Sus scrofa: one gene and its partners. The protein of the gene in region 3 interacts with the protein of the main gene of each other region in a pairwise test. Links are inferred from orthologs where the notes say so. Each region holds a gene or a part of one and is shown on either strand. Other genes may lie near its edges. The genes, in order: EIF4A3, EIF4A2 and PDCD4.

Region 1 (4,307 bases), on a different chromosome or scaffold from region 3:
CTTTCCAGAGTGGAGGACACAAAAATAAAAAGTGCCTATGGCTGAATGCAAGGCCAGGGCTGGTCACGGCGACGGAAGGAGAAGCGCAAAGGCGCTGCTGTGCTGAGCAGCCCGGCCCGGGCCCGGCTCCCGCAGACTCACTGTGCAATGACATCTCTCCCCTTGATGATCTGCTTAATAGCTCGCTGCTGGATTGCCGAAGGCTTTTCAAAACCTGTAAATTAGAGCAGAAAACAATTAGTTCTAACCGCTAGGACAGCATGCTTACAACCAGACGCTGGGGCTCCTCGAGGGCAAGGATGGGCTCTCTTTCTTCCTTTCTCTTTCGGCTGCCCCTCGGCATATGGAGTTCGTGGGTATGTGATCAAATCTGAGCCACAGCTGTGACCTACACCACCGCTGTGGCAACACCAGTTACTTTCACCCACTGTGCCAGGCAGGGACTGAACCTACATCCTGGTGCTGCAGATATGCCACTGATCCCGTTGCACCACAGAAGGAACTCCAAGGATGGTATGTTTTTTAAAAAAAAAAAAAACCCTCCTGATGCAATGTCCAACATACTGAGCTCTCAAAAAACAGCTGTTGAACAAAGCAGGATTTGTGGACTTTTGTGGATTTTTTTTTTTAGGGCCACACCTGCAGCATATGGAGGTTCCCAGGCTAAGGGTCGAACGGGAGCTGTGGCTGCTGGCCTGAGCCACAGCCACAGCAACTTGGGATCTGAGCCACGTCTGCAACCTCCACCACAGCTCCCGAAACGCCGGATCCTTAATCCACTGAGCCAGGCCAGGGACTGAACCCACAATTTCATGGATACTAGTCGAGTTTGTTAACCACTGAGCAAGGGAACTCCAGTGGATTTTCTTTATAGTAACATATGATCTTATTTATACAGACAAAATCTCTGAGGAACATTGTTGCAAACAGAGACCCTAGTTAGGTTTAAAAAAAAAAAAAGTTAACAGGTGGTTACTGCTGGAGAACAGGGGGAGGGAAGCTCACATCTTACTTCCATTACTACTGCATTGTTTGACTTCATTACAATAACCTGCATTGTTGGGGGTGTTTTGGCATCACTTGTTAAATTAAATAACCCATCACAGTCAGTCACTACTCCCTATCAGCAGTAAGTCTTTGGGTAGGTGACATCATCTAAAAACGAATGTCACCTACGCCTCCCGCCCTGGATGCCCTCCTGCCCTGGATGCGGCTGCGTGAACTGCAACCCCTCTACTGTCTGAGTAAACAAAACTTCATGTACAAATAATGGACATGAAATAATTCTCATAGTCTTTTAAAATGTAGTAAACTTCCCACTTAACACAAAAGCCAATCTAATGTGATTTAAACCCCTCATGATGACGCAGCAGGTGTTTCAGGGAAGGGAGGCCCTAGATCCCAAGAGGCAGGTGGGCTGTGAGCCTCACTACAAGGCTTAGTTGCTATAGTTCACCTCCCGTTCCCTCAGCACCTTCTCTGCACTAAACTGTCCTGACTCAAGGACTGCTGGATAAAAAAGATGCCCCAGTCCCAGGCATTAAGCACGGATGCTGCTCATTCCGGAGAGTAGCCCCAACCCCGCCTCTTCCGAGGCTCCCAGCTAGGACAACTGATGGCTCACAGGTCCCTCAAGCTCCCCTCATTCAAGAAGTGCTCCCACCATTACTCCCTGCCTGAGCAGAGGGCAGCATCACCGGTCCCATCAGCCACACACCTAGGATTTTCCTCTGCTGCTTACATCCATCTCCACCAGAAAACCATCATCTCTCCCCCGGACTGGAACAAAAAGCCTCCTAGCATCTCCCTGCTTGCTCTCCCGCCTCACCTCCACCCACATCAGACACCCCAATTCACTTCTAACTAAATATGGTCCTGTCGCTTCCTTGCATGAGACCCTCCAATGGCCTCCCCCACTGCACTCAGAAATAAAATGCACTCTCTTTATCACCCCAGACTTCACTCTTCAAGATGTGGCCCCCTCCTCCCTCCCCACAGGGAGGACAGGAGATTCTGTTCCTGGAATGTCCCCGGCTCCGGGCTGCAGGACCTGGCACCAGCTGCCCCCTCTGCCCAATTCTAACATAACCTTCTCATAACGGGCTCCTTAGCTGAGTCTCAGTTCAAATGCCAGGCCCTACTGGCAGCCACCTTGCCTATTTGCTCTACTAGTTTAACTCTCTCCTCCGCGCAGCTTGAACCAATTATCCCGCTTAATTTTCTCCGTAGCCATTACCATCGATTATACAGTCCTCCTCCCAAATGTAACTTAAACTAAGGCTTAAGCTAACTTAACTAAGGGCACGAACCTGTCTGGTTCCCTACTAAGCCCCGAGTACCTAGAGCCGCGCACCTGGCCGATACAAGACAGTTATCCGCTGAATGAATGACTCCCAAGTGCCCAAAGGACCCTGCAGCCCTCTTGGGTCCCAGCAGGGCGCGCTGCCGGGAGGACAACACCCGAACCCGCCGGCACAGATGGGGGTGGATACGCGTGGTGAGGGAAGGGGTCACCCGTGACCCACCCCGGGCTCGGCCCCAACCCGGATCCCCGACCTTCAGGACCGCCACACTCCCAGTCTCGGGACCCAGCCCTCGGCCGGGCCCATGCTCTCCGGCGGGCGCTCGCAGCCCGCGCCCCGCGCCCACCGACCGTAGGCATAGATGCCGCGCAGCAGGTCCTCCCGCAGGCCCATAGTGTCGAACGTGGGAGTCACGTCCACCTCCTCGCTGGTCTCGAATTCCACTTTGGTCATGTCTTCCTCTTTCAGCAGCCGCTTCCGCGCCGAGCCTGAGGTCGCCATCGTGGCCGTGGCCGCCATGATGCCGAGCGGGCTGAGAACCGACTGCGCGCCGCACCGGGAAGCGGAAGTAGAGCGCCGCGCCGTCGCCGCCGCCAGGAACTGACGGCATCGCGCGCGCGTGCCTGCGTAGGAGCGTGCGTCGGAGCCGCGCTCGGAAGGGGCGGGGAGCTCCTGGTCACGTGAAAGGGGAAAGGGGCGGTGCCGCAGCTCTCGAGGGGGAGGGGTTCCGCGGGATCCGCGGGCCCCGCCCCTGGCCACACCCCGCCCCTCCCCGCACCCGCGTAAGGTAGGCGCCGGGGTTCGCCCGGGTCCCTCGGCTTGGGCTCTGGGCTGGGCTGTTGCGCGGAGGGTTACCGGTTACCTGGCCGCATTACCGGTTCCTCAGCGCGGCAGGGTAGAACTGGAACTCCTGCAGACGAGCTGCGGCGTGCGCCAGGGCGCCCCTGCCGGGAGGAGGCACCCGGGTGCTGGTCCCTGCCTGCGCTCATTATCCCGTGTAAACATGGCCCCGTGGGCCATGCTTCTCTAAAACTTCAAGTGCCTCTAAAATCAAGTACCGCAAAACTGGCCTCTGAACCGATTTCATCACTTGACGGACGTTCATCTGTGTTGTGTGAGAACAGCGATAACTTTGTGAAACTTGTACTTGCCCAAGTGCCAGCTCCGTCCTTTCTCATTGTTTGCTTGGCTCCCATCCTGGGCATATCTTTAATTCACAGCCTCTTTCCAGGAGTGCTTAAACGCTTTCCTGTTGTGAAGGTTAATTCAGTGAAAACTGGGTGATCATATTATCCATTAAAATCAGGCATAAGAGTGCAGAGGTTTGCAGTTTGTTGACAGCAAACAAGTAAATGAGGTCTTTTCCTGAAGCTCTGGCCCAGACCTTAGAATATGTCCAGACTCTGCAAGAAAATTGACCTGATAAACGTGCCTGATAAGGATGCTAGTATGGGAAGTTCCCCTTGTGGCTCAGTGGGTTAAGAACCTGACTAGCATCCATGAGGACACGGTTCGATCCCTGGTCTTGCTCAGTGAGTTAAGGATCTGGCGTTGCCGTGAGCTGTGGTGTAGGTTGCAGATGTGGCTCAGAGCTGGCACAGCTGTGGCTGTGGTGTAGGCCGCCAGCTATAGCTCCAATTTGACCTCTAGCCTGAGATTTTCCGTATGCTGCATGTGTGACCCTAAGAAGCAAGAAAAAAAAAAATGCCAGTATTACTCAAACCTTAGAGTTCCAGCTGTGGCACAGAGTAAGTTGCTGCGGAGGGCATGGGTTCAGTCCCCAGCCTGTGCAGTGGATTAAAGTATCCCAGGTTGCCACAGTTGGTCACAGCTGCAGCTTGAATTTTTTTTTCTTTAAAGGGCCACACCTGCAGCATATGGAAGTTCCTAGGCTAGGGGTCAAATCGGAACTACAGCTGCCTGCCTATAGTAGCCACAGCAATTTGGGATCCAAGCTTCTGCAACCTACACCACAGCTCACAGCAACACCAGATCCTTAACCCA
Region 2 (4,223 bases), on a different chromosome or scaffold from region 3:
TTCAGTTGTATTGTAACAGTACCTGCATTAACCTAACCTCCAGCTATTACAGGAAAATGAGGGAAAATAAAGCTCACCTGAATACTTGTATTTAATTTTTGGAAAATCTCATAGATTTGATCCTTAAACCCTCGGCTCAGCATTTCATCTGCTTCATCCAAAACAAACATTTTGATCCATTTTGGAGCTGTTAAAAATAAAGTCGTACTATTATCTCTAGACTATCAGGCATGTTATTGATTCCTAAGAGTTAAAAAAAAAAAAATCTATACTCCAACAAACTATACTAATAGGGAGTAATACTTACAAAGATATCTTCTGTTTAACATATCAAACACTCTCCCTGGTGTACCAACAACAATATGTGGTGCTTCAGCCTGCAGTTTCTGCATTTCATTCCGAACATTTGTCCCACCAATGCAGGCATGACAAGTTGCTCCCATATAGTCTCCAAGTGCCAGAATTACCTTTTGGATCTGAAAGCCAAAAGCGTTAATTATCATCCAGCAGCATTACATGCTGTGACTAAACTTCCAAAGCATATTGACAAGTATGTGGTCTGCAAACAGCTTTAATGCATGCAGAGCACCTAACTACTTTCAAGCTGAAAAAAATGCAGACAGATATAACTGTCAGGATAAACTTCACTGAAATATCTTGTGCCTTGTCAAAACTTGGGATCCTATTGCCCAGATACCAACCAGGTTATTTAGAGTGAAAAACATTTCCTACATTAGTATTGTGCAGGAAGGAGTAAATAAGATTTATCATCATTAACAAACTTTTTCCCGCAAAGTACTGCAGCATATAATCTTGACCTTAATAACAACTACAAGTGTATTAGCAAGGTTTACTTCAAAGCCAATATAGTAGTGAGCTTTGAAAACGCAGCATGCAACAGATGTATCACATACTGAGACAGTCAAATGAATGAACATGTCACTGCAGCTTTCATGTTGCACAACTGGATTCAAACTTAAAATGAGAAAAGATCTAGTCCAGCCTGAACAGAAATCTTCAGTTTCTCAATCTGTTACACAACCTTGCAAACCATACCTGCACACCCAGTTCCTGTTTAACTTTCAACAATAACTCCCTGCATGCATGGACAGTTAAAAGGAGGGCTCTGTAGGACCAATTTATACTAGGCTTTTAAATTCTCCACAGTTGTGAAACCTGAAACCTATGCAACACGCAAGCAGTTTTTTTGAACTACACTATCAATACCTGTTGAGCCAGTTCTCTGGTGGGGGCCAATACTAGTGCTTGGGTCTCCTTGAACTCAATCTCCAACTGTTGCAGGATGGAAATAGCAAATGTGGCTGTCTTGCCAGTACCTGACTGAGCTTGAGCAATCACATCATACCCTAAAAAAAGTAGGATACATATTTACCGATCCCACAGCAAACCGTCACTTCTAGTCACACCATGTATTCCATTTGGAACATAATTATGCCCAAATAATCAAGTGATCAGCAATGAGTATTCTCTTCATTTCAGGTCAGTCCCGAAAGATGATTGCCATCATTTCACTTTTTGGAATACAAATAGGTGCTAGTCCCCCAGAAGGTATACGTTCCCTTTTACGGTCCAGGTCTATGCAGAAGAGTGAATTCATTTTTAAAAACAGCCGAATTCTTTTACCTTTAATACAAGGAATAATAGCTCTCTGCTGAATAGCTGATGGCTTCTCAAAACCGTAAGCATAGATGCCCCGAAGAAGAGACTCCTTTAAATTCATATCGTCAAAGTTATCAACAATCTCATTCCAGTTGCTCTGAAAGTTTGGGCAAAAAAAAAAGGAATAAATGGGACGAACACACTTACCTTCCCAGAGTTTCAAATTCCACACACGTTTCTTACCTCGATGACACCATCGGGGTCCATTCCCTCTGGGCCGCCATGTTCTCTGCCAACAAAAACACTGCAGTTAGAGAAAATCCCTTCCCCAAACCCACTTCAACTGCACATGGGCGAAAAAGCGCTTTCACAACCGGTCTCTTGAGGTCGCCCTCCCCTGCACGAGTCCACTTCCCAAAGCCGCAGAAGAAGCTGATGCCGCAGGGCACACAATGTCCCGCGCGCCCGCTCAAAGGTTAGGACCTGAGGACACCCGGAAAGGCCCCTCCGACGCCGGCCCTCCCCCTCCAAGCCCGAGCGCAGGCGCTCCCCTCGGCGGCGGACCGTCTCGCGAGAGCTCCACGCGCTGAGCTCCGCCCCTAACACTGCGCAAGCCGGGGTGATTGACGCGGGCCGAGGCCTGGAGAGGCGAGCCAACGGCTCATTGGGACCCCGTGGCCGGCGCGGCCCCATCCGGCCTCCAGCCGCGGGCAGTGGGCGCCGTCGCCGTCCTGCCCCCCACCCCACCACCGTCTAGCGCGCCCAAGCCGCGCCGCTGGCCGCGAATAAACCTCCGAGCCCCATTAGACTCTATCAACCGCGGGCTGCGCCATGGCTTTCACTAAACGCCGGGCTCCGCAGGGGCAGGGGGGCGGCTGCGATTCAAATGCGCCTTCGGGGAAAGACACGCTTTAACCACCCCGTTTTCCTACCCTCGTCTCGTCTCCCCACAACCCGGGCCCTACACTTCATGGAAGCTTCTCGAAGGACACAGGAGTACCGTGGCCCAAGGCAACGCCTATGAACCAGGGCTTCTCTTCCTGCTCACCGCCTACTACCATCTCCTCTGGCGCCTTAGGACCATACCATAGAAAACCACCGGAGAGAGCGCCATACCTGTTATAATCCGCGGAGCCACCAGACATGATCCAAAGAACCACTCAGCGCCCGACTGAAAAGACAGCCGGGCCGCACCACCCGTTTTTTATAGGCTCGCGGCCGGAACCCGTTTTCCGCGGAGGAATTTTACTGTCGCTCTTCGGCCAGTCACAAAATTGTGATCCTGGGATGCTTATCTCAGAAAATATTCGAAGCAAATCATTAAGAAAATTCAAATTTGATTATGTGTCGATATTCCAGGGTTGTTGAAAATCCCAGGACCCTGGGGGAAGGTTGGGACTCTTTGACCCGCGGCGGAAGAATATTGCAGCAAGCAGTAGCTAGGTTCGCGTTCCCTGCCCGCCCTGCTCCTACGGGGTTTCCGCGTCCCTCGAGCAGAGGCGGCCGGGGCGCCGGGCAGGACCGGGAGGCGGAAGCTCGGGGCCCCTTGGAAGCTGGGTGGCCCCGGTTTCTCCGCAGGCGAGCCAGGGAACCTCGCTGTGCTCGCCGTGCTCGGTGCGGAAGGTGTAGGCACGGCCATACTCCGCACTGGAGGGCAATCGGGCTATTCCGCCTGTTCGCGCCGCTACTTAACGCGAAGGTAAAGAGCCGCCTGGCCTTTGACACGAGCGTTTAACATCCATACAGACCTTGACAGTGTGAAACTCGCGCTGCGGAAAATGTCGGCCGCCCAGCGTGTCACAGGAGATCCGCTTTACCGTACATCGTGCAGGGCGAGAAGAAATGTGTAGGGTCCTCTGCAAATTGTCTCTGGAGTAGCCAACTCCTTTCTTATGTTGCCTCTTCTCTCACTGCCTTTTAAAAATAAAGGTTATAAATTTTAACAGGTGTGAGCAATGCCTGATAAAATCATTGTAAACTGGCAAATAGAAGGGTAATTTTTCCTGTAATTCAGGAATTTAAGTGGATGCTTCTGGCAAGTACAGCTCCGTGCCGCTTTGGGACTACATAAGTTTTGCTTCCGGTCATTTTTTTTTTTTCCAAAAGGCTTTTTGAATTTTAATTGCTTATATATAATGAATGTTGATTTATTGATATTGAGAGCATTGTAACCCTTAAAGCTCCAGAGGCTTTCAACTATAGCCCTAACCCATACTCATTAGTAAAAACAAAACAAAAATTAATATATATAGTCATTTAACTTTGAAATACAATCCTACCCATACTGCAAAATATCACAATTACTCAAGAAAACCTTTTACCATTAAATCAGACTGCCAACATAAAGTCTGATAACAGGAAAAATGACTTAATTTTCTATATTTGTGTACTATATTCAGTATGATGCTTGCTTCTAAATGCCACATTTTTTCCAAAAAAAAAAAAATCATTTGCTTGAAAATTGTTGTGCCAGAAACTGACAAGAACTAATACCCAGATGACAGTGTCTTCGCCTGCAGTCTAGTGATGCTGCTCCTTAACCATCCCTTTATAATGTTCAAGTCCAAATTTGTGATAATGCCATACATTGTCTGAGAATAGAA
Region 3 (3,543 bases):
AAAGGCAAAACTACAGTTTCATAAACACAATTCTCCTGAAAGGAGAAGGGGAAGAAATTTATAAATTAAAGAGTAAAACATTCAGATAAATGAAATTGTTTCTAAATTTTACATTACAACTGGTTAGTAACACCCATTCAGGGCAAGAAGAAGACATGCTACATGCTTTGATTACTTACATAAAAAACAGAACCTATGTCATTTATCCCCCATATCTTCTGTTAATTTTTCATCTCTCCCACAGAAACAAATACTGCAGTGACCAAAAAAGTTTTAAGATGACTTCCTACCGGAGTTCCCATTGTGGAACTGAAACCCAACTATTATCCATGAGAATACAGGTTGGATCCCTGGCCTCGCTCAGTGGGTTAAGGATCCAGTTGCCCTGAGCTGTGGTTTACATTGCAGATAAGGCTCAGAATCCCCGTATTGCTGTGGTTGTGGCACAGGCTGGCAGCTGCAGCTCCGAACTACCCATGGCCTGGGACCTTCCATATGCTGCACATGAAGCTCCAAAAAAAGCAAAGAAAAAAAAAGATGGCTTCCTATCATATTTGTTATTTTCATTAAAACTTCACTTTAGGAGTTCCCATCATGGCGCAGTGGTTAACGAATCTGACTAGGAACCATGAGGTTGCAGGTTCGGTCCCTGCCCTTGCTCAGTGGGTTAACGATCCGGCGTTGCCGTGAGCTGTGGTGTAGGTTGCAGACGCGGCTCGGATCCCGTGTTGCTGTGGCTCTGGCATAGGCCGGTGGCTACAGCTCCGATTAGACCCCTAGCCTGGGAACCTCCATATGCCGCGGGAGCGGCCCAAGAAATAGCAACAACAGCAACAACAACAACAAAAGACAAAAAAAAAAAAAAAAAAAAACTTCACTTTAAAAGGTGGGGGGAGACAGGAACCAAAGCCTTCATGATTAGTATAATAAAAACCCTTATTACAAAAATCAATGTTTGCAGTGATGACAAAAATCTCTAAGGAAAAGTACTATTTAACTGAAATGTCAAAAAGAATAAGACGTCCAATAATCTTCTATCCCCATTCTCCTCTGTAAAAAAAAGTCCTGAAATGCTTATATGCAACTTGTGACTGGGTTCAGTCTACGACATATACTTTCAAGTCTTTCAAGACTATATTAAAATTAGAATATTTAGCAAAGATTCTATAGTACTTGAATCTACTGGTTTTAAAATATACTGGTTTTCATGTTCTGTTAGAAATATTTCCACATCCAACTATTAAATTCAGAAACCAAGTGAAAATTATGACTACGCTGCTAAAAGTTAACTTAGTTTCTCAATCCAAAATTAACCTAACAGTCAGAAAGTACTGAATTAGTGTAGATAAACACACTAATGTGTGTAATATGTGTACACATATACACATTCACACTACATATATATTATATATAATAATATATAAAATTATAAATATATGATTTGACAGATATAGCATATAGATAGAATACATGATTTGACAAATACATGAGTATACTATAAACATGAGGTCAAAAAAGTTTATAAGCAAAAAAAATTTTCAAAAAAGTTTATAAGCATTTTAGATATCAAAAAAAGTAAAAGACTTATACCTGGTCATCATCATAGTTAGGATCTTTCACATCCACTTCCTCCACATCATATACCTGTCCAGGTGTACCCCAGACACCTTTGCCTCCAGCACCACCTGAAAAAGTTTAGAGAAAGGAAAGAGCATAATGTCTATAGTTCATAAATTTTAATTGAAATCTTAAATAATTCTAGATATTTGGGTATTAATAAAATAGCTAAAAACATGTATTTTTATTTCTATGCTTTTTTTGCTAGTTTAAAGTTATATTTTACACCTCTTTTTATTCAGATCACTGCTTTTTCATTAATGATTAGATACTATGTATTTTATAACCTGTTTCCAAAATACCAAGTTAAAAATAAAAAGGCAGATGCTTTAAAACAGAAGTTATAACAAACCAAAAAAAAAAAATCAGAAAAATAGCTGTATCAGGGATCTTAAGGCAGGTTAAGTTAAGCTAAATTTTATCTGACATTTCTCGGAAACAAAAAGTATGTTGATCCAGTGTGATGTGTCAAAAAAACTCAACAAGGGAGAAATTATTCAACAAAGAAGTAGGGTGACCACCATCAGACATTTGACAGTAAAACATGCTTTAGCTGTAAAAGGATACATTACACTTTATAACTACCAATATCCTAAAAATAACTAATTACTATTTAAGTATTAACAGAATTCATCATTATTTCTACTTCTATATATAAACTGACTAGCAAAAGTTTAGCAATTCCAACTTCTAAAGTTGCTTTACTAAATAAACTTCCTGAAATATTTTCTTAAGGCTCAATATATTACATTATTGTTAAAGAACTTTATGGAGTTCCCATCGTGACTCAGTGGTTAACGAATCCAACTAGGAGCCATGAGGTTGCGGATTCAATCCCTGGCCTCAGTTAAGGATCCAGTGTTGCTATGAGCTGTGGTGTAGGTTGCAGATTTGGCTCAGATCCAGCGTTGCTGTGGCTCTGGCGTAGGCCTGCAGCTACAGCTCCGATTAGGCCCCTAGCCTGGGAACCTCCATATGCCACAGGTGCAGCCCTAGAAAAGATAAAAAAAAAAAAAAAGAACTTTACAGTACACCAATTTTTTGGAGGTTATTTTACACATACAGTATAATCATTGCCACCAGAGCAAAAAGAACAATCTGGTAAATAGGTTTCATTTGAGCCCAACCAATGGTTGCAGAGCCATTCAACAACAGCAATTTCTGACACAGCACAAAACACTTAGGGCGATAATTTGACATTCCCACCATTTAGGAGCTGGTGAAATTTCCAAACCATCAAAATCCTACTATAGACAAATGCTGACAAACCCCTTATTCAATAAATATTTTAAGTACCTACATTGCTAGTCATTACTCCAGACACTGGAAACACACCAGTGAAACAAGACCATTCCATTCCAGTACTCAAAATAAACAGAGCTAAAGAAAAATCAGAATCAGATCTATAAAATTATTAAAATTCTGATTCAGATATTACTAATCAAACTTATATTTACCATGTACTCTTAACAAATTAGATTTACTATACCATATAATAGATATGATGAATTTCTGACCCTACTTCTTTAAAGCAGAATTAGAGAATACATGCACAATTCTTAACCATGAAAAACACTGGTGTGTATTTTGCCAGAAATAAGAGATAAAGTTTTGCTCCAAAAAACTAAGTCTACTCAAACAACAAAAAAGGCTCAACTTAACGAAAAAGTGGGATGGTCCTCAGATTATTACCATATAAAAACATACACAAACTATAAAGCCTTACATCATTGTTTAAACTTCTCTCATTCCTAGAACGAGGAAACTGCAGTACAAGAATCAGACAAAATTTTTTCCATTTGTTTCTTTGGACTGGTATATACCAACCTTTCTTTGGTAGTCCCCTTCCTTTCCCAGATCTGGATCGTCTATCTAGCAACCTTCCCTTTGGACTGGTTGGTACAGTTACTCCACTTCTAAGGCCTT

The links.
Region 1: the proteins of PDCD4 (region 3) and EIF4A3 interact in binary tests that used the Homo sapiens proteins (3 or more experiments, as listed by UniProt). The two-hybrid records come from large-scale screens. The link is inferred for Sus scrofa from reciprocal best matches to the Homo sapiens genes PDCD4 and EIF4A3.
Region 2: the proteins of PDCD4 (region 3) and EIF4A2 interact in binary tests that used the Homo sapiens proteins (3 or more experiments, as listed by UniProt). The two-hybrid records come from large-scale screens. The link is inferred for Sus scrofa from reciprocal best matches to the Homo sapiens genes PDCD4 and EIF4A2.

Annotation. Positions count from the first base shown.
Region 1 is NC_010454.4:2,284,210-2,288,516, reverse strand, and holds the start of EIF4A3 (eukaryotic initiation factor 4A-III), read right to left. Parts: upstream 2,839-4,307; 5' UTR 2,823-2,838; coding exon 2,654-2,822; intron 215-2,653; coding exon 142-214; intron 1-141. UniProt on the Homo sapiens protein: ATP-dependent RNA helicase. Involved in pre-mRNA splicing as component of the spliceosome. Core component of the splicing-dependent multiprotein exon junction complex (EJC) deposited at splice junctions on mRNAs.
Region 2 is NC_010455.5:124,581,639-124,585,861, reverse strand, and holds the start of EIF4A2 (eukaryotic initiation factor 4A-II), read right to left. Parts: upstream 2,801-4,223; 5' UTR 2,766-2,800; coding exon 2,737-2,765; intron 1,910-2,736; coding exon 1,864-1,909; intron 1,778-1,863; coding exon 1,645-1,777; intron 1,368-1,644; coding exon 1,228-1,367; intron 477-1,227; coding exon 308-476; intron 188-307; coding exon 78-187; intron 1-77. UniProt on the Homo sapiens protein: ATP-dependent RNA helicase which is a subunit of the eIF4F complex involved in cap recognition and is required for mRNA binding to ribosome.
Region 3 is NC_010456.5:121,316,792-121,320,334, reverse strand, and holds part of PDCD4 (programmed cell death protein 4), read right to left. Parts: coding exon 3,445-3,543; intron 1,686-3,444; coding exon 1,591-1,685; intron 36-1,590; coding exon 1-35. UniProt on the Homo sapiens protein: Inhibits translation initiation and cap-dependent translation. May excert its function by hindering the interaction between EIF4A1 and EIF4G. Inhibits the helicase activity of EIF4A. Modulates the activation of JUN kinase.